2 linked regions of the Rhinolophus ferrumequinum genome follow. The protein of the gene in region 2 binds, or shares a complex with, the protein of the main gene of each other region. Links are inferred from orthologs where the notes say so. Each region holds a gene or a part of one and is shown on either strand. Other genes may lie near its edges.

The links. The genes of interacting proteins can lie anywhere in the genome.
Region 1: the proteins of LLGL1 (region 2) and PRKCI are in contact, whole or in part, in a cryo-EM structure (PDB 8R3Y), measured with the Homo sapiens proteins. The link is inferred for Rhinolophus ferrumequinum from reciprocal best matches to the Homo sapiens genes LLGL1 and PRKCI. Residues at the interface, in NP_004131.4 of Homo sapiens: Ala315, Asp319, Glu367, His391, Ser392, Ala394, Thr396, Glu453, Cys483, Glu484, His485, Phe506, Asp507, Pro508, Tyr509, Ser510, Asp511, Pro513, Gln518, Lys519, Lys569, Ala600, Val601, Thr602, Leu644, Gly648, Pro649, Leu650, Ser651, Arg652; in NP_002731.4 of Homo sapiens: Asp339, Met341, Gln345, Arg348, Leu381, Asp382, Met399, Thr412, Phe413, Cys414, Pro417, Leu425, Glu445, Gly449, Arg450, Ser451, Gly457, Ser458, Ser459, Asp460, Asn461, Pro462, Asp463, Asn465, Thr466, Glu467, Asp468, Tyr469, Leu470, Phe471.

What each region holds. Positions count from the first base shown.
Region 1 is NC_046285.1:72,046,458-72,056,888, forward strand, and holds the start of PRKCI (protein kinase C iota type), read right to left. Parts: upstream 4,975-10,431; 5' UTR 4,679-4,974; coding exon 4,578-4,678; intron 1-4,577.
Region 2 is NC_046304.1:636,543-646,936, forward strand, and holds the start of LLGL1 (lethal(2) giant larvae protein homolog 1), read right to left. Parts: upstream 4,863-10,394; 5' UTR 4,796-4,862; coding exon 4,715-4,795; intron 1,521-4,714; coding exon 1,423-1,520; intron 1-1,422. UniProt on the Homo sapiens protein: Cortical cytoskeleton protein found in a complex involved in maintaining cell polarity and epithelial integrity. Involved in the regulation of mitotic spindle orientation, proliferation, differentiation and tissue organization of neuroepithelial cells.

The DNA.
Region 1 (10,431 bases), on a different chromosome or scaffold from region 2:
GAAATCGGTCTGTAATTCATTGCCACTGAATCCATGTCCTCTTTTCTATCCCCCTCATAATCTCTCACCTGGACTACTTCCAAAGCCTCCAAATTAGTGTCATCCATCACCAATTCAATTGCCATACTGGTTCCAAGAGCGATCTGTCTGAAATGAAAATCTGTCTGTCTCTTACTTAAAACCTTCACCAAAGAAAAAAGTCTGAAGCAAGAGTCTTCAAAGACTAGTGCCTGTGAACCTTCTTAATACCTCACTTCTCATCAGTGCCCACTTCATGCTTATGTACTAATAAGGAATGCACATGGGTCTAAACAACTAAACTGATTTTAATTCCCCAAACAGAACACACAGCTGTGCAAGGCCTGGAACCATGCCCCACCCAACACCACCCCCACCAACAAACCTACTTATCCTCTAAAAGGCCTCAGACATTTCATCCTCCAGGAAGGCTTCCCTCACCCCTTCTCTCCAGTATCCATCCCTGCAGTGACACTGACACACACGCACACGCGCACACACACACACCTCTCTACCTTTATTAACTCTTCCATGTCTTTGCTCCTACAAATCTCTTACATCCTCAAGGGCAGAGCCTTCTATTAATCCACCTCCACACCCTCTGTACCCACCCCAGCACCAAGTGCCTGGCCTGTCGTAGGTGTTCAACAATATTTATTAAACTGAGTTTAAACACACTTAAGTAATATGTGATAGCCTAAGCAAGACTGGAATTTTAAAAATTCATGTTTTAATTAGGCTCATGTCAACCACAGAAAAACGGACACTCAAGTTATCTTAAAAAGCGGGCTGGGAGTTGAAAGCTATCCCGGACCTCTGAGGAGAATTTTTCCGTGGAGAGCTAGCTACTTCTTTCTCCTCCGCGTCCTCAGACCTTCCCTCTGCACAGGGGCGGTCCTGGCCTTACCAGCTTCTCCCTCAACTCTTCAGCTTCAGTCCTCACAGCTAACAAGCAATTTATCTCCATATTATCCCATTCAGATTTCTAAGAGGGCTGTTTTGGTTTGGTTTTTAGCACAAGGCCACAATGCCCTTTCTCTCCGCTAAAGCTATGGATCAGTGCCCTGTGGTTAGGTGCTATGTCAGAAGCTCTAGCACCAATAACTAACATTCCCCCAATTCTCAACTCAATATATTATTTGTATTTCCTTAGAACCATTACTAAAGTATATCACTAAAATTATTTTGCAATGCTTTTAAAAACAAGTCTTGCCAAGACTTGTTAACAGTGAAAAAAAAAAATCCTGCCTAAATATTTCTTCACTGAACCAGCTATACATTCCAAATGTGCAGGAGTTAATGTTTTTATTTGTACGTTTGCACAGAAAAAATCCTCTGGGTTGCTATAATTGCTCAACAGCCTTGGTTTAAAAAGCATTTTTTTACAAGCTTTCTGCAAAATTTCCCATACACTTACAATGTAAAGAAATGAGTAGTTGAGACATTTGTTAAATTCTATCCCATAATATTAAGCAACTTTATATAAGGATAATCACACACAATGGCAATCTATCAGGAACCAACAAAACTTGTTTCTCTTCCTCCAAACTAACACGACTAGGTAATGATTGAAGAAGGAAGGCCGCTCACTGACAAGCTACCGTGGCGAGGAAAGAGGGGTACAGGCTGTGACAAAGGCACTCTTAGACGGTCTCCAATAAAATCAGATCCTCAGTGCGAGTATTAAACTCCTACTAAAAAACTAGGAAAAAAATCTAATTAAATGTCTGCTATACCTAGGGAGACACCACATTTGCAATAAAAACAAATTTAACAGAAATATAACTTTATACACATCTTTGAAAGGAGAAGGCAATTTATTCACTAAAAAATGCTGCTATTCCGAGGTTCAACATTCACTGGAAAGAAATATTGTTAGCAGTGTATAAGGAGAAAGCTCTCTGATAATGGCCATTCAGAAGAGCTAACGAAAAGAAACTTTTTCCAACGCAGACTGTCCTTCCATTACTTGATGTAAAGGAAAGATTTTCTATTTTAAAATCAGGTAGGTGTTCTAGTTAGCCAACCTGTTTATTCACTATCCTCACTGGTGACTCATTTTAGTTTCATCTGCAGTAATGAGCAGCTGACTGTGTCATATCGTACCCATCAGTTTAGACCACTGTTAATAAACATATAATCTTAACAGATCTAATTTCAGAGGACAGAAATTGGTACAATTTAGAGTGCTGATGCTGTCTTTAAGTGAGGCCCGAGATGAAGGCACTATTAGAAAGCTTTCATTGAATTAAAGGCACTACAGAGCAAGGGGTTCTTTCATTCCTTAGCAAAAATTCATAGGTTTTAAAAAACAAAGAAAATGTTAACTTTAATGTCTTGGAGAAATTTTAGTCAAGCACTAAAAGGGTTATTATCTCCTTATTCCTTTTTAAATAATTGGAGCAATGAGCCAAGAAAATATGATAATGCATTCCTGAAATATACCAGGCTTTGATTTCTTTCCAAAGGAGAAACTTACAATGATTTTAATTTATTAATTAGGCCTATTTACAATTGTCAAATTAATAAAAATGGGAACAAAACAAAGAGGCACTAGTTTCTTCATCTTTCATAGTTGGAATCACTAGAAACTATCTAAATTTAATAAGTCAAGAATTTATATTACTTAAAGTCATGAAGGTAAACTGGAAAACTAAAAATAATAGCTTAACAATCAAAAATTGAGAGGCACCAGGAGGAGAAAAAGCAAAAGGCTGTGTGCACCCAATTTCTCATCTTTCAGAGTATCAACAGATACTATCTAAAGTTGATATATCACAAAACAGAAGTATAACTTTTAAAGTAATAAAGGCAACCTCCAGAAGAACCAGAAATAAACTGTCAATAGTAGTTACCTCTGGAGTTTGGGAGGATGAGGTGGGGAATACTTTTTATTTTATACCTCTGTACAATTTGCACTTTCCTACCATCTGTGTACACGTATATTCATTTTTCAATCTAGTTTTTAAATTGTCAATAATCAGACACTTTAAAAAAAGAAAAAAAAGAACATGTACTGTATTTCATTCTCTGTACCTAACAACTCATGGACTGTCAACTTTATAAAATGGAACATATTCTAAAGTGAAATATCTCATCTATCAAATAAAAGTTAAGCTAAAGGGAGGAAAGCTTTTTTCCCCATAGTGCAAAGTTCATAGCTTACCATCCTTAATCAAAACAGCTCTGTGACAACTACAAACTTTTTAAAAACCTACACACACTTCTTGGTACTGTTTTAAAATCAAGACCTCCTTGACCAATTTAAGCAAAATCACTGATACTGTCCAAAAGATCTCCTGTAAACTACTCCTGAATGCAGTCAAGCTAACACAGAGGTCAGAGGCTTCATGGAGCAAACACACTAAACCAGTATGTCCTTACATCAAATCAATACGACATTTAGGGACTTATATTTTCTTTGAAATCAAAAACAGAGGCATTTTGAAAGTTTGCTATCTTCACTGATACTCTCAGGAATGTAAAAGTATGCATTGCAGTTTCAACCTCCTAGTGCTTGAGTTTTTTTTTAAAGCAATTTACTTCTGCTTCGACAAGCACTAAGACAGGCCAAAGCTGTTGGGTTTTCTGTTAACCCTTAGTTTCAAACTTTTAGGCTCACAATAGCATTTCACTGTTCTAATGCTCCTAAATATAATTACCCCAAAGAAATTTCAAACCACAACTGAATTCAAGGGAAGGGGGGCACTTCACTGATCATGGAATATGACTGAACATAATGATCTCAGGACTGGATTATTTCTGGTAACCACAAGAGTTATAACTTAGGCAATAAATAACATGAGTAAAGATCACAGATTTTCAAGCTTTGCCTAGGCTCATCCTCTTCTCACCTTGCATTATCTCACCCTATGGGACCATCCTTGAAGCCACAATGACAAAGAAGTATTCACAAAATTTTACTTTACACGTACACATCTAATCTTGGAGAAACATAAGTACGTAAGGTACATCCCTGAAAACACATCAACTTCACTCTTAAATAGTAACTCGTATGTCTAATTTACTGGCAGCTTGACCACAGTCCAGATACACTTCGTGAATTCTTACAGGTGATGAAGATAAACCTGACTTGGAGAACCCAAGGCTTTAGGCCTGCTGGAAATCAAAAGGGCAGCAAACTGAAGCAGTCCTGCCGTTTAAGCCCATAGCAACTTAAGTTAACTGAGGCATCACTTGGAATCAACTCTCACAACCCCAAATACATCCAGACCTAATGACGTAAACCCTTGTAAATTTCTTAGTAGGCGAGTCTCGCGAACCCACCAGGTGGACCTACTCTATTTCAAGGCTCCTCCTGCGGACTCTACTCTGGACAGTCAGCCACGCGATTCCCGGGTGCCCTGCACCACACCTTGGGGGTGCCCCGATCCAGCGCCCCATGCTCCTCCCCCGACCACTCGGTCACCCATCCCGAGTCCTCAGAGTCGCCCTCTCAGATCAACCCTCCACAACATCTCTCCCTCACCCACCCCTCCGCCAGGCCAAATCCAGCTGGCCCTCCCCCTCCCCTCCTACCCGTACCCCCAGACACTCACCCGCGGTAGTAAGCTTTCACCCGGACCTGGTGAGAATGGTCCCCGCTGCCGCCGCCTGTGATCGGGTGAGACATGGTAGTGCTGTCTCTCTGGGTCGGCATCTCCTTACTCCCCCGCCTCAACGCCGGAGGCCGAGGGTGCCTGGGGCGCGCCGGGGGGCTCCGCTGCTCGAGCCTCTCCCAGAGCCGCGGCAGTCCGCTCCCCTACCTGTTCTCCTCGCCCGCGGCGCCGACCCAAGGGTCGCCTCGCCCGGGCAGCCGGAACCGCGCGGCTCCTCCCACTGCCCACAGCCGCCACCGCCTCTACAGCCGCCCGGGCCCAGCACGCCTCCCTGCCTCCGGCCCTCCCACCTCGCTCGCTCCAAAGGCCCACATTCCGCGGGAGGGCGGGCACTACCACCTATCCAACTCAAGGAGCCTCAATGCCCGGCTGAACCATTCTTACGGAGGGCAAGGAAAAAGGGGGAGAGAGAATGGGAGACGCTGATGCTCACATCAAATACGCCGGGAGGGAGGTTTTCGTGGAATCTGTGACTGAGAGAATGCGACGGTTCGAGTAACTATAGTTCTGTAAAAAGCCCCCTCCCTATAGGGAAAATGGTAGGGGACAAGTGCTGCGGCATCTCACCCCAGTTTCCTAACTTGGTCGCGTCCGCGGCCAGCCGATTTGGGATTCGGCTAGATTTGCTGTGTGGGTTTCTGGGATTTGGAGTCCCCGGGGGATTCTGGGACTTGAGGTTCCTTACGTATGGAACGCCCCGCCTTCTCTCTGACAGTGTCTCCAGGTTGCGCCCCAGGAACTGTTGGCGTGGAAATCCTGAATCCAGCTTGGGCATCTGAGGTCACTGGAAATGACTGGGCTTCGTCACGATCTAGACTTTGTTCTCTGATGAATTCTCCCTTCCAATTGCATAAATCATCTCAATTATACAATGCCTTTTTTGGCAATACAAATTTGGTTACCTGTTTAGCATAGACTCTTTTATGGAAACAATTAAATAATGTAACAAATGTAATAAAGGTGGAAACTCAACCAGAAGATGCGATGGAAGACTGATTTTTCTTCCTTCGTGGCCCCCATATCTGCGCCCTTGTATGTTGCCATTGCATGGAACAAGTGTACGATGAATATTTATGCCTGCGGCCATCCATCCATCCATCCATCCATCAGCATTGTTTCTGTTAACACAGGCTAACCAAGGATTATAAAAAATCTATCCTTGTAGCGTAGTCCCTGCCTTTCCACTGGTCTTGGCTCCATCACACACTGCAATTAGACGTAGCATGAATCCAGCCCCTGCGTCAGTCTTGGTACCAACCCATGCTAAAAGGGTGGAATAATTAACGAAATAACTGTCTTTGCTATGATAAAATAGGCTTATGGGATTGACTCATCAGAGATATTTGTGACAGTTAACCTGGTATAATGTTCTTCAACTGCTACAAACTTGGATTATATGCTCTTAATAAAAGTCCCCACTGAAATTCTCCCTTGGTAACAGGATTTTTGGCACTTGGGGACCTCCATCAGCATATTAAATATGAATCAGTTAGCTATGAAATATAAACTATTTCTAAAATGAGATTGTGAAATTTTAGTTGGACTAATGGAAAAGTTGGTATGCTTGTGACATTATGAAATTTTAAACATTATATGCTCTAAAAAAGGAAATTTTTGCTATATGGGAAGTGAGACTTTAGAAAGGTAAGGCATGAAACCGTTTTATTTTGGATACTGATTCCTTAGCAGTTTGAAAAATCCTTTATCATTGGCCTTATAGCATCCTTTGAAGGTAACCATTCTCTCAGAAAAGGCTTATTGTTTACTTTGTCGTCAAAAAGAATCTATAAATATTTATAGTTTGCTTCATCCCACCATATAAATAAGTTTTCTTTTTCTGAATGATGAAAGCTTTTAGTTGTGATTATCAAGCAAAGCATGACCATAATTTTTTAACAGCATTATTGAGGTATAATTCACATACCATACAAGTTGTCCATTCAAAGTATATAATTCAATAATTTTTAGTGTATTCACAAAGTTATGCAATCATCTCCACTATCTAATATCAGACCATTTCCATCCCCCCAAAAGGAAACTATACATTCATTAGCAGTAACTCCCCACTCTCTTTAGCCTCTGGTAACCACTAGTGTATTTCTTGTCGCTACGGATTTTTCTATTCTGGCCGTTTCATATAAATGGAATCATACAATGTGTGGACTTTTGTGTCTGGCTTCTTTAGCTTAGCTTAATGTTTTCGAGATTCATCCATGTTGTATCATATATCAGTTCTGCATTCCCATATGTGGCTAAATACTATTTCATTGTATAAACATTCTACATTAACGATGCTATGAACATTCATATATAAGTTTTTGTGTGAAATATGTTTTTAATTCTCTTGGGCATATACGTAAGAGTAGAATTGCTGAGTCATACGGTGGCTCTATGTTTAATATCTTAAGGGAATGCCAAACTGTTTTCCAAAGTGACCGCACCATTTTACATTTGTACTAGCCTTGTATGAGGGGTCCAATTTCTTTACATCCTCACCAACACTTGTTATGGACTGTGTTCTTTGTTATAACCACCCCAGTGGTTGTGAAAGTGGTATCTCATTGTGATTTTGATTTGCATTTCCTTAATGATTAACGATGTTGAATCTTTTCATTTTTTATTGTCCATTTGTATATTTCCTTTGGAGAAATGTCTATTTAAATCCTTTGGCCATTTTTAAGTTGGGTGCCCTATGTCTTTTTATTGAGTTGTAAGAGTTCTCTATATATTGTGGAAATAAGTCCCTTTTTAGATGATTGCAAATATTATCTATTCTGTGCATTGTTTTTCCATTTTCTTGAGTGTATCATCTGCAGCACGATAGTTTTTAATTTTGATGAAGTCAGATGTATCTATTTTGTTGTTGCTGCTTATGCTTTCTGTGTCGTGTCTAAAAAGGCTTTGACTAACCGAAGGTCATGAAGATTTTACAATGAGTTTTCTTCTAAGACTTTTATAGTTTAAACTCTTATGTTTAGGTTTATGATCCATATTGAGTTAATTTTTGTGTGTAATATAAGTGGTCCAGATTCATTTCTTTGCATATGGATATCCAGTTATCCCAGTGCCATTTGTTGAAAAGCCTATTCTTTCCCCATGTAATTGTCTTGCACCCTTGTCAAAAATCAATTGACCAAAATGTAAGCGTTTATTTCTGAACTCTTTGATTCTATTCCATTGATCTATATAGCTATCCCTAATACAAAAATCACAGTTTTCATTACTGTAGTTTTGTAGTAAATTTTAAACAGAGAAATTTGAGTTTTACAACTTTATCTTTTTTAAGATCGTTTTGACTATTCTGGGTCTCTTACATTTCCGTATAAATTTTAGGATCGATTTGTCAATTACTTCAAACTAGTCAGTTGGGATTTTGATAGGGGTTGTGTTGAACCTGTAGAGCAGCGTGTGGAGTATTGTCATATCAACCGTATATATAGCCTTCCAAGCCATGAACACATAATGTCTTTTCCATTTATTTAGATCTTTAATTTCTTTCAACAATGCTTTGTGGTTTGCATAGTGTGATTTGCATTTCTTTTGTTAAAATTATTCCTAAGTATTTTATTCTTTTTGATGCTATTATAAATGGAATTGTTTTCTTAATTTCATTTTTTTAACTTTTTCATTCTATTATTCTAAATGAGCATTCTAAATGCCTGGAATCCTGAAATGTTTGAGAAATAATTACTTAAAAGTGTGTTAATTTCATGAAGTTTTAGAATTTTATTTCACCTATCAATACAGACACTGGTGGCTTTTAGCTCTGACTACACATAGGAATCACTGAGGAGCTTTTTATAAGCTATTTTGGTGGTAGTGGGAGGGTATCCCAGATCAATTGAAACAGAACCTAAGGGGGATGTCCTGGGGGATTTCTTTCCTTCCTTTCTTCCTTCCTTCCTTCCTTCCTTCCTTCCTTCCTTCCTTCCTTCCTTCCTTCCTTCCTTTCTTTCTTCTTTTAATTGACATATAAAAGACATATAATATTAGTTTCAGGTGTACAACATGATTCGACATATTTTGCAAAATTATCACCACAATAAGTCCAGTTAACATCCATCACTACACAGTTACAAATTTTTTTTCTTGTGATGAACACTTTAAAGATTTACTCTCTTAGCCACTTTCAAATATGTAATACAGTATGAGCTCTAATCATCATGCTGTGCATTACATCCCCAGGACTAATCTTGTCTCTGGAAGTTTGTACCTTTTCACCACCTTTACTAATTTCTTCCACCCTCCACCCTTCACCTCTAGCAACCACCAATCTGTTCTCTGTATCTGTGAGTTTGGCTTGTTTTGTTCTGTTTTGTGTTTGTGTTTTAGATTCCACTGTAAGGGCAATCATAGGGTATTTGCCTTTCTCTGACTTATTTCATTTAGCCTAAAGTCCTTAGGTCCATTCACATTGTCACAAATTGCAGGATATTTTTTAATGGCTGAATAATATTCTTTTGTGTGTGTATTTACATATATATATATACACACACACACACACACATATATACATATATATGTATATATATATGTGTGTGTGTATATATATATGTATATATATATACATATGTACATATATACATATCATATTTTCTTTATCCATTCAACCATTAATGGACACTTAGGTTGTTTCCATGTCTTGGCAATTGTAAACAATGCTAAAAGAACATGGTGCAGATATCTTTTTGAGTTGTGTTTTTGTTTTCTTTGAGTAATTACCCAGAAGTGGAATAGCTAGAGCATATGATAGTTTTATTTTTAATTTTTTGAGGAACCTCTATACTGTATTTCATAGTGGCTACATCAATTACATTCCCATCCTAATTTCATTTTTAATTATTCATTGCTAGTGTACAGAAATGCAATTAATTTTGCATATACCTTGTATCCTACAAGCTTGCTGAACTCATTTATTAGTTTTAATAGTGTTTTTAGTTTTAATAGGGAATTCCTTAGAATTTCCTATATGTAAGATTTTGCCATTTTAGAATACAGATTGATTTACATCTTTCTTTCCAATCTGGATGCCTTTTATTTCCTTTTTTTTACCTGATTGCCTTAGCTAGAACCTGTAGTACTATGTTGAATAAAGAGGAGAGTGTGAACATCTTTGTCTTATTTTCAATTTTATATGATAGTTTTCAGTCTTTGGCGATTAAATGTGATGATTATTTTAGTTTTTTGGGGTTGTTTATTTGTTTTTGTTTTTGTTTTTGGGGGGTTTTTTTTGCAGATACCCTTTATCAGGTTGAGGAAGTTCCATTCTATTTCTAGTTTGTTGACTATTTTTCTTATGAAAGGGTGTTGGGTTTTGTTTAGTTCTTTTTCTGTGTCTATTGAGATAATCATGTGGTTTTGTCCCTTATTCTATTGATACGGTATGCTACATTAGTTGTTTTTTTTTTAATGTAAGCTAACCTTTCTTCCTGGGACAAATCCCACTAGGTTGGGATATATAGTCATTTTTATATGTTGTTATATTCAGTTTGATAAAATGACATTGAGGAATTTTGAGTTTATATTCATAAGCATGGTTTCCTTTAGTTCTCTGAACATATTTATAATAGCTGCTATGAAGTCTTTGTCTGCTAAGTCCAACATCTGTGTCCTCTCAAAGGCAGTTTCTGTGTGGATGAGTCCCATTTGTCTGTTTCTTTGTATGCCTTATAATTTTTTGGTTGCAAACTGTACATTTCCATTATAGCAACTCTAGAGATTGATCCAGACTGGTTCTAGAGCTTGTTATTTCTGTTGTTGTTTGCTTGTTTATTTGTTTAGTGAGTTGGCCACA
Region 2 (10,394 bases):
CAGGGGACGGGCGGGGCCTATGGGGCCCCAGAAGGGAGGGCAGGGAGGGGTCAGCGGTGCTGCCTGGGGATAACGCAGGAGCCAAGCCGTTGCCTGGAGATGGAGCTGGGATTCCCTGCAGGAGCTGGGAGAACACAGAAGAGGGGACAAAAGAGAGGGCAAGATGGCTGGGCGGGAACCAGGGTCACCTAGGAGACAGGCTAGCCTCAAGGGGGAGGGGTGGCTTCTGTGTCCAGGGCCTTCTTCTTCAGCCTCAGTTTCCCAACCCATGGCTCCAGGCCGCGGTGGTTTGGGGGAAGGAGGGAAGGGCTGGGAGAGCTCTGGCCTCCTCGGAAGCTGTCTCCCAGTCTGTACAAGAGGCTCTTTGTGAGCGCGAGCCGCCAGTGCCCAAGACAGACCAGCACACCAGGAGGGCCAGCTCAAGAGGCTGAGACGCGTGGCCTGGGGCACAGTGACACACCGACTGCAAGGACACGACACACGTGTGGGCAGAACAGCACCTCGAGGGGCAGGAGCAGCAGGCCAGGAAGTGGGTGCCCACGGGAGAAGGGGGCATCCGGCCAAGCCACAGCCCCTAAAGCAGGTAAGGTCAGCACCTGCAGGCCCAGATGCCCACTTCTGCCTGGCCAGTGCCCCCAGACAGGGGTGGGGAGACCCCCACCCCTCCCCCGCCCCTCCGCTTTATAGGCATTGACTCACTTTGTGTCAACTGATACCCCCAACGGGGACACTGAGACCCAGAGGGTCGGTCACACAGGGAGGGGTGGAGGTGGCCGTCCCTGTCCAGGGAGCCGCCAGACACACCGCACCCGGCTGCCCTGAGTGAGAGGCTTCGCTTCGGGCAGTGGGGGTGGGATGCTGCGTGGCAGGCAGGGAGGCATCAGCTGTCTGCGTGCCCCCACCCCACCCCCACCCTGCGCTCGCAGGGAAAATGCCCGCTTTGTGCAGCTCACATGGCCCATTGTGCGGCCGCCAGCATCCAGGTGGGGGCTGAGCTGCGCTCACCATGCAGAGCCTGGCACTGCCCCCAGCCCCTCTGATGAACACACGTGCCTTCACAGTCACACACGTACGAGTACCGTCCTCAGGGCAAGGCTGGCTGTGTGACCCTGGCCCACCCACCACCCTCAACAGGTGCCGTGATCAGCTAGCCCAGGCCTGGCCTCCCTAGTCAGTTGCTGGGACGATGGATCACAGGGTCGCCGAGGAAACTGGCTGGCTGAAATGCAGCAAGGGACAGCTGTGGCCACTGCAAGCTGCCCCCTCCATCTCTGGGAGGAGGTACCCCAGGGCAGAAGCTCTGGCAGCCTCTACCAGGATCCAGGCACCTACCACAGCCTCCCAGCCTGGGCCCTAAACAGCACCCAGGGAGCTGCAGGCAGGGGGTCCTTACAGCCCGAAGGCACGGTCCGCAAAGGATACATCTTGACGGCCCCAGACCTGGTGCCAATGGCCATGATGCGAAGCTCGGGGTCAAAGGCCAGGGCGCTGGGCTGGTTAGGGAAGCCATGCTCCACAGTCTGCGGGAGAGGGGAGGGCATCTGTCCAGGCACCGCTGCGCCCCGGCCTGGCCCAGCCCACCCACGGCAGCCTCAGGTTCTGCCGCGGCTGCACACTGGGACTCAAGCCGGGTCCACCTGTGCTGTGCCTGCGTCGTGAACCCCGAAACGGGCAGTCACCCTCCAGCTGGTATGGAGGGTCCGAGCCCCTGGGCCCCACCCCAGGCCAAGCCGCCGTCCCTCTCAACACCTGTTTCCACCCCACTGTGCACAGGGCCCTGGCAACAAAAAGGAAAGACAAGGTTCAAGGAGGTGCAGGCACAGAAGAGGACCCCATCTGCCTCAGGAGGTGGGGTTCTGCACCCCATTCCTACAGGCACAGACTGAAGCTTGGTGAGGCCCCATGCTGCCTGGGGTCCCCCGTGAAGTCCGTGGTGCTCCCCAAACAGCGGCCCTGTGTGGAGGTCAGAGGCCAACCCCTAAAGTCATCTAGACAGAGGTTCTAGACAACGTCCAGAAGCCACCCCAGCCCTCAGACTCAGCAACAGGGAGACTGAGGACCAGGGAGCGTCCTGCCCGGACCCGGAAGGTGTCACCCACCTCCAAGACTTGGGTTCCACAGCAGGGACTGAGGAACATGATCCCCACCCCGTCTGTGGTGGGAAGAGTGTGAAGGGGGCCTGAGCACTGGGGGTGTCAGTGGAACAGCTCCCACCCGTCCTCTGCTCCCGGCTGGGCCAGTCCCAGCACAGACCGGCCCTGACCCACCAACCTGACGTAGGCTTTCCTCCGTTGCCCACCCACCCAAGGTGCTCCCACTCATGCCCTGAAGCCAAGCTGGGGGGGCCCCTCCATGGGAAGTCTGCACCCCCAGCCCCATTCTGAATGCCAATGTGGGGTACCACCTGTGGACCACTGGAACCTCCCGACCACTGCCTCACCAAGACGCACATTTTGTAAGAAACCCTGCTTCCTGGGCCTGTGGCCCCAGCCTCCCTCCTGCCTCAGCCCATCCAGGCAGGGACTGAGCCCTCTGGACAGCTGGCTTGGCCTTGGGCTCTCACATCTGACCCTTCCCTCCCGCCACTCTCCTCCAGCTCACGACTCCAGGCTCACTGGCCTTTGGCTCTCCTCCAATTTACTAGGCAGGCCCCTGCCTCAGGGCCTTTGCATCTACTGTCCCTCTACCTGGAACGCACTTCACCCGCACTCCCCATGGCAGGCTTCTGCCCATCACTCAGGTCCGAGTTCACTCAACTCCTCAGAGGCCCCCAGAAGCCACCCTGGCCACAGCACCGTCCGCATCCACATGCTCCAGGCCATCACCCTACTTTATTTTATCCATAGCACTGGCTACCATCCAAACTGCTGCATCTTTTACTCTGTGGTTTTGCCTTTTCTCTGTCTCCCCCACTAGGACATCAGCCCCCTGAGTGAAGAGGTATGTGTCCCTTTTGGTCACTTTGGTGTCCCCAGCACCTAGAAGAACTCACACCCGGTAGGAACAGTATTTGTGGACGTCCCACAGACGATTTGTAGGCAGGGCTGGGTGTGGACAAAGTCCACGCTTGCCCCTGACCTGCCTCCCCCACTAGGGAACCTGGGGCCTATTCTCTAGTGGTCTCCCACCACCCCCTCTGGCGAGCAAGCCCCTTGCCCAGACCACCCTCTCCCAGCACTGCTGCCCACTCAGATTGGGACCTCACTCTCCTTAGGGGGAACCCTCGCCTTCTGCCAACCCAGGGCCAGCCAGGGAGACAGAACCTCCCCACCATCTGTCTCAGGTCCCCACTTCACACCCCCACTCACTGGCCGAGGAAGTGACACCTTAGCTCAGTGCCTGCCCCATCACTCTTCTCTCACCTCGCAGGGGCTCACCCTCATGGCCACCCGGCACAGGAAGGGGGGCGTCTGGGAGCACCTGGGCACCGGCCCTCCCTCTCGGCCCCGGAGGCCTCTGACAGGTTCTCGGCCACCAAGTCTGAGGCTCCTAGGAGCCCCCCACCTGCCCCAAGAGATGTCCGGGTGCCTCAGCCACTCCAGGTCCAGCTGTCCCAGAGCTCCCTCCTGGACAGGTCTCCTCGGGGACCACAGCAGCCCCTCAAAGTTAAAGTCCAAACCAACCAACAAAAGGACATAAGGAAAAAGTGCCCCAGCTCCATCTGGGACTTTGGGCAAGTCATCACCCCTCTCTGAGCCTCAGTTTCCTCACCTGCATGATGGGGAGAACAACTCAGATCCCCAAGAGCAGTGAGGACCTGTGCAATCAGAGGGCTTCGAGACCAGATCCGGCACTCTGGGAGGAGTTAGCCAGGGGCAGGCTGGGGGTTCACGCTGCCGCACATCAGTGCAGAGGGCGGCAGGGACTGACCCGCTGCTCCTACCCGGGCCCATGTGACACAGAGCCAAGGCTCACAGCAGGGAGGAAAATGGCCCCATTTCACAGTAAGGGAAACCGAGGCCCCATGATTTGCAGTGCAGTTGGGCACACAGGCCTCGGCAGGGCAGGGCAGAGTCTAAAGCTGTGGGGGAGGGAGGAGAGGAGCATGGAAGGGATTTCCCAGCCCCACCCCACCCCCAACCTCTGCCTCCTCTCCTCATCCCTCCTGCCCCGCCCGGGTGCGAAAGCAAAACAAACCCTGAACCTGGCTGCCCCAAGGGCTGCCAGGGCTATGGAAGAACCCCCAAAGAAAGAGGGATAAAGAGACAGAGGGTGAGACAGAGTGAGAGTTCCAGAGACCCCACAGACATATCGAGGGGGAGAGAGGCCGGCAGGAAAAGACAGGCAAAGACTCAAAGATGCTAAGACAGAAATGCAGAGGCAGAGAGGTGAAGGGAAACAGAGGAGACACACAGGGACAGAGGCAGACACACGGGCATACACTGAGGACAGGAAGGCGGCCACAGTCAGGGGCAGAAACCCGGAGACATGCAGAGTCAGAGCACAGAGAGAGACGCAGAGACAGGGCCACCGAGGCCCAGAGACCCGGAGACGCAGACACGGAAAGTCGGCGAGAGACCCAGACCCACCCAGTGAGCGGAGCAGGGGCGGAGGCGGGAAGTGGGGCCAGTCGAGGGGGCGCCGGGCCCCCGCGCCGCGCCCCAGCCCGGCGCCCCCTCCCCCCGGGCCCGACGTGGCTCCGGCTCCCGGGCCCCCAGCCCCAGTCCCCGGCCCGCCCCCTCCCGCCCAGCCCCGGGCGCCGCCGCCGCCGCACCTTGTTGAAGGCGAAGAGCTCCTGTTTGAGCTTCTCGCGCTGCGGGTCGGCGCCCTGCCGCCGGAACCTAAACTTCATCATCTTGCGTCCAGCTGCCGGCGCCGCGCCCGCCGCCGCCGCTGCCGCCTGCAGGATGCGCCGCGCGGCCCCGCCGGTCCTGGGGCGCGGGCGGGGCGCCAGGCGGCCCAGGCTCGGGAGCGGGGCGGGGCCTTCACGGGGGTGGGCGCCGGTCGCAATTGACGCACTGCCCGACCAATGGGCGCGTCCGAGAGCCTCCCGCCCCGCCCCTGCGGGCCAGACAATGGGGGAAGACAGGGCCCCGGTGCTCCTCCAAACTCGCGAAGGAACACCCGCTGAGCATGCGCTGAGGCGCGGAGCCTGCCGGGACTTGTAGTCTGCGAGCCAGGGCTCCAGCGCGGGCAACTGGGGGACGAGTTTGGAGCGGGTCCCCGCGCGTTCCCGAATTTGGAGGACGTTTCTTCCCTCCTCCAACGAGCGAGCGACGTGCATATTCAGGTAATGAGACAGCTCTGTCTCGAAAGCCACGAGAGTTCTGACTGGTGCAACTTTCTGGTCCTTCAGCCTCAGTTTTCCCCATAGATGCCATTGGCTCAATATTTTACCAGTTTCGTGGGACAACACTTTGACTGTTCCCCAGTGTGCCAAAACTCCTTCACCGACATGTTTTTGACATGTTTTTTGCCCTGGCTGTGTGGTCAGCCCCCGGGAAGGCCCTTCTCAGCCCCCAGCCCCTGGGGAACTCCTACACAGCCTTCAGGACCCGACATAAAAGGCTCTGTGTGGCCGCACAGGGGGTTCTTGGGAGTGCCATCAGCCAAAGTGAGGTACAGAGACCCAGCAGAGAGGAGAGGCCCTTACTCAGGAGGTGGCAGTTGGAAAGGTCCTGAGATTGGATTGTGCCTTTTCCAAGAAAGGGGAAGGGCCTCTCCTGTGCAGGGAACAGTGTATAAACAAAGCTGTACTCGGCCTCCCCTCTCTGAGGGAGAATCAACTTGTCCCCACCCATCTCTCAGACCTCCTTTTCTCATCTGGACAATGGCCTCCAGGCTGAACCTTTCCTTCCAGGATGAGGATAAGCTGCCCTGGGCTCAGGGCTGGGCAAGTCTGTGGTCCCAGAAGCTTAGGTGGGGCAGGTGGACCCGTCCCCAACCCAACCAGCTGTGTCAAGGGAGGCAAGCCTGATTTTTGACTCCCAGAGACAGCTGCCAACCAACAGGGGCCTGGCTGCCCTCTCCACCCACGTCAGCCCTGCTCAGCCCCTCCCCGATTGGAGCTGGATCTGGAAGAGGGGTGGGTGGGGGTAAGGATGGTGAGAGGAGGGGAAAATGTTAGAAACAACAAAGCTTGAGTGCCTAATGTGTGGCAGGCACTATTCAAAACCCTTTCCTGATTTCAACTGATTTAATGCTCTCAACAGTTCTGTGAGGGAAACAATATTATCCCAGTGCTACAGATGAGGAAGCTGAGATAAATGGGCAAAAGCAAGAGCAGCTTTGACCTGAGTTGTGGGCAGAGCTGGCTGGACAGCGGCGTCAAACTCCTTGGGCCAGTGCCCATCCCACACCCAGCACCGGCAGCTCAGGCAGCTCTGACACCTGGGTTCTGGTCCCTGTCCTGACATCCACTGGCTGAGTGACAAGGCCTGAGCCCCAGTTGCTTCTTCCACAAAATGACGGCCTCACACAGAGAAGCGTTAGGAATTTGTTAATTCATATCCCAATTCACCACTTAGAAGCTGTGCAGCCTGGAGCAAGTTACTTAAGCTCTCTGTGCCTCATCTGTAAAAATGTGGATAATACTAGTACCTACCTCAAAGGGTTATTGTGAAGATGAAATTAATTACTACTTGTAAAGCCCTCAGAATGTGTCGGGCAAACAGGAAGAGCTACGTGTTAGCTGTTATTAGAGTTCTTACTACTCGCTATTTGAGTTCTTCTCCTCTATCATCCGGGGCCAGTCCCAGCCTTTCCCCAGTCTCCATTCTTTGAAATGGGACTTAGTCATCAGTCAGTAAGCAACCATGCCATCCCCACCCCACCCCCAACCCATGTACACCCAGCGCACAGTCTAGGGGGTGAGACAGAGCTGGGTGGAGACCACAAGCACCAGGGGTGCACTGTGCTGTGATGGGGCAACGTATGGGGGCTGTGGGAGCCCAGCAGAGGCATCTGACCCCGGGCAGGTGTCCTGCAGGGAGAGGGCACAATTCAAGCTAGGCTGTAACAGGTAGAGAGGGCTGGAAGGCAGACAGACAAGGGTCCCTGGCAGGCAGGCGTTCTCAAATTGGCAGAACTCCACCCCCCAACCCACACACTTGTTAACAAGATAGTTCTACGTTCACCAAATGTGAATGCCTGTGGAGCCCCAGAATCTGGATTTTAAACCAGGCATTTCCCAGGTGACTCTGAGGCCCAGCTTGCCCCAACCCAGTCCAACTGAAGGGGGCTAAACGGGTACACTGAGGCACCAATGGGTAACCTGAGACCTGGGCAGACAGGCCCAGCCCATCCACACAGCCAGGCAGGGTTTAGGAATGGCACTGGGGAGGGGACCGTCTCCCAGCCTGGAGGGTCTGGGGCACTAATGACCGCCTCCCCTTGCCCTGGAGCTGGGGCAGCCCAGGCCTATGATTACTAGGGTAGCCCAAGGCAGCAGGGTCAGACCGCCAAGCCAAGTCTGCTCATTGCTCGAAGCAGGACACTAAGGCTCAGGGGAGCCCAAGCAAGGGTGTGGACGCAGGGTCTTCAGTGCTTTCAGGCGCCCCACACCTATCCTGGGAGATGGAGTCAGACAGGAGGGCACCTGAGTCAGTAGCACTGGAAGGAAAGCTGGTCCCTCCTTCAGACTCAGGTCAACCTTGGGCCAGGGAGGAACTGCTGCCTTTTCAGCATTTCCTGGCTGGGATGGCCTCTCCCTCCCCCTTCCTCCTAGGCCACCCCAGCGTCCTCACCTAGCTCTGAGGTGGGACCAGGTCTGACTTCAAATCCCAAGACATCCCCATGCTGGCTGGGTGACTTCAGCTAAGCCAGTTGTCCACCGTGGGCCTCAGTTTTCTCATCTGTAAAATGTAGTAAGAACTAAAGGAGATGATTCAAAACAGGAGTTGAGCACAGGGCCCTGCAGGGTCTGTACCTAGTAAGCCAACTTTCAGGACTCTTGCTCTAGGACATGCAGGCTGCCTCATCATTCTTCAAATGTACCAGATAAGCTTCTTCTGCCTCAGGACCTTTGCACATGCCGTTCCCTTCCCTGGAACGCTTTGTCCCCAGGTTTTCACATAGCCGAATCCCTTTTGGTCCTGGCTTAAATGACACTTGCTCCCAGAAGCCTCCCTGACCTATTTCCCCCATTCTGGATGCTCTCCTCTGCCTGGTTCTCTCTGACTTCCTCTTTTTTCTCCAGCCTGAGAATGAACTCCCTGGGTTTAGGTTTTTAATACTGTTCATTGCAGTGTCCCAGTGCTTAGAACAGTGTCTGGGACATAGTAGGTACTCAACACAGTTTGAAAAAATATACATATAGAATTTTTAAAAAACATCTGAAGCAAATATGATAAAATGTTAATGTGGGCAGATGGTGAGTGCTTGGTGGCTTCTATGTTACTTTAAGTATTTTTCAGTGCCTTTGAAGTATTTCATTAACTGCCCCCCCCACCCCATACACACACAAATAATCCACACAGTTTAGGAAACAAGTCCACAGGAAGTGGTGGTTGAAGGGATGTGGCAGGGAGCAGGTGGGTGAGTAGGGGTGTCCCTGAGCCAGGCTGGCATGCATCGAGGGTAACCTCAGAGGCAGGCACCCCAGGAAATGTGGTATCTGTGCTTTCTCTCTGAGTCCTTGCAACGGCACTGGAAGTAGATACAAGGATGATCCCACTTTACAGACAGTAAATGGAAGCTAAGAGCAGAGAAGTGACTTGCCCAAAGTCACCTGTGAAGGGAAGGAGAGGAGAAGGGGAGACAAGGGGAAAGCCCCAAATGGAGGCAGAGTGGGGGCAGCAAGGGAGTGCAAGAACCAGGAGAGCCTGGCTGAGGAAGCTGGGCCCTGCCTCCCAGGACCTGGCCCAGATCCGCGCTGAGGCCGCAGCCCTCCTCTGATGCCCGAACCACACAAGCAGCTTCTTCCGGGTGCCTCCCCAGGGGCCTGGCAGACTGGAGGCAGGGCGGGAGCAGGCAGAGCCTGGGATGGGAGGAAATGAGGCAGAAAGAAGCGGGGTGTTTGGGGACTGGCTGGAAGACCACTAGGGAGCCCGAGCCAGTGGCAAGGGGTGAGCCCCTCATCCTGTGTGGTGTGCTAAGTGAAGCTGGATCTAAGGGCGCTCTTTAGGGCCCAGAGAGGGGAGGTGGCAGTGGACCTGGGGCCCTCAGTCCACAGGGTGAACAGTGTGCTGGCCTCAGTGAAAGAAAAGCCAAACAGGTAGCAGGAGTGTTTGGCAGATACCGCCTGTCCTCATGTTATAAGGGAGGAAACTGAGGCTCAGAGAGAAGTGACATGGGGGATAATACAACGGTCTCTAGACCTCCAGCCCAGTGGTCCTTCTCTGGGTGCCAGGAGTCTCACCCCTGACACTCGCCCTGAGCTGGGATCTGTGCTGTGCTTTCCTTGGCTCACGCTGGCACAAGGACCTGGGGATTCGGGTGCACCTGCCCCCCACAGGGAGTGTCAGGTTTGAGGCTACAGGGGCTGAGCAGGTGGGCATTGTCACAAGCCTGTTGGAAGGTGGGGTTCTGGGCTTCATTCCTCTCCGTGGTCTCAAGTTCTAATCCTGCCTCTGCCACTTCATCTTTCAGGGCCTCAGTTTACTCATCTGCAAAAAGGGGGTGAATAGTAATTGCTACCATTTAACGACACTAAGCACTTAGTCGGTGCCAGGCACCTGGTCATTCCTTTAATCCTATGCCCATTTTACCACGGAAGAAACCAAGGTCAGAGAGGTTAAGTAATTTGTCCCAAGTCACACAGCTAGTATGTGGCAGAGTCAGGATTTGAACCCAAGCCCCAAAGTGAGGAACGGTATTAGAGGGTGCAGAGAGAATTCAATGAGACCATTTGTAAAGGGCCTCCCTCACAATGCGAGTCCAGGAGAGGGTGGGGCTTAGGTCCTAGTAGCTCAGCCTGGAGAAGCACTGGGACCACGCAGTACATTCTGTGCTGAGGGAAGCTGGGGTTTGGGAAGCATCAAGGCAGCCCTGAGGAAACTGGGTGAACCGAGGTGGCTTCCAGCAGGAGCCTAAGGCAGAAGGCACTGGCACGCTCAAGGATGAGGCGAGAATGTCCCGGGGAGCGGTGGCCCCTCTGCCTAACTAACCCTGAGGGTCCTGGATAAGCAGGGCAGAGGCAGTGGGGGACCTAAATTCTTGCTTCTGGGGCCTCAGCTCCCCATTTAAACCAAAGGACAGGGGTCCCCTGCACCATTCGGAAGCACCATCGCTCCGATTCTGCTGCCCCCCTGTGGGCACCGGGGAGAACTGCACCAATGAGCACCCTGGAACCTAACAGGGGGACACCAGCCCCACAGTGCCCAACACTGGCTCCAACCCCGCCCAGCCTGGCCCCCAGCCCGTCCTTTCGGTGCAATGGCTTCCTTATTGACGATTGGCTGTCCTTGACACAGCAGCACGAGGGATTCTAAGTCTGATCATGACCTCCTCTGTTC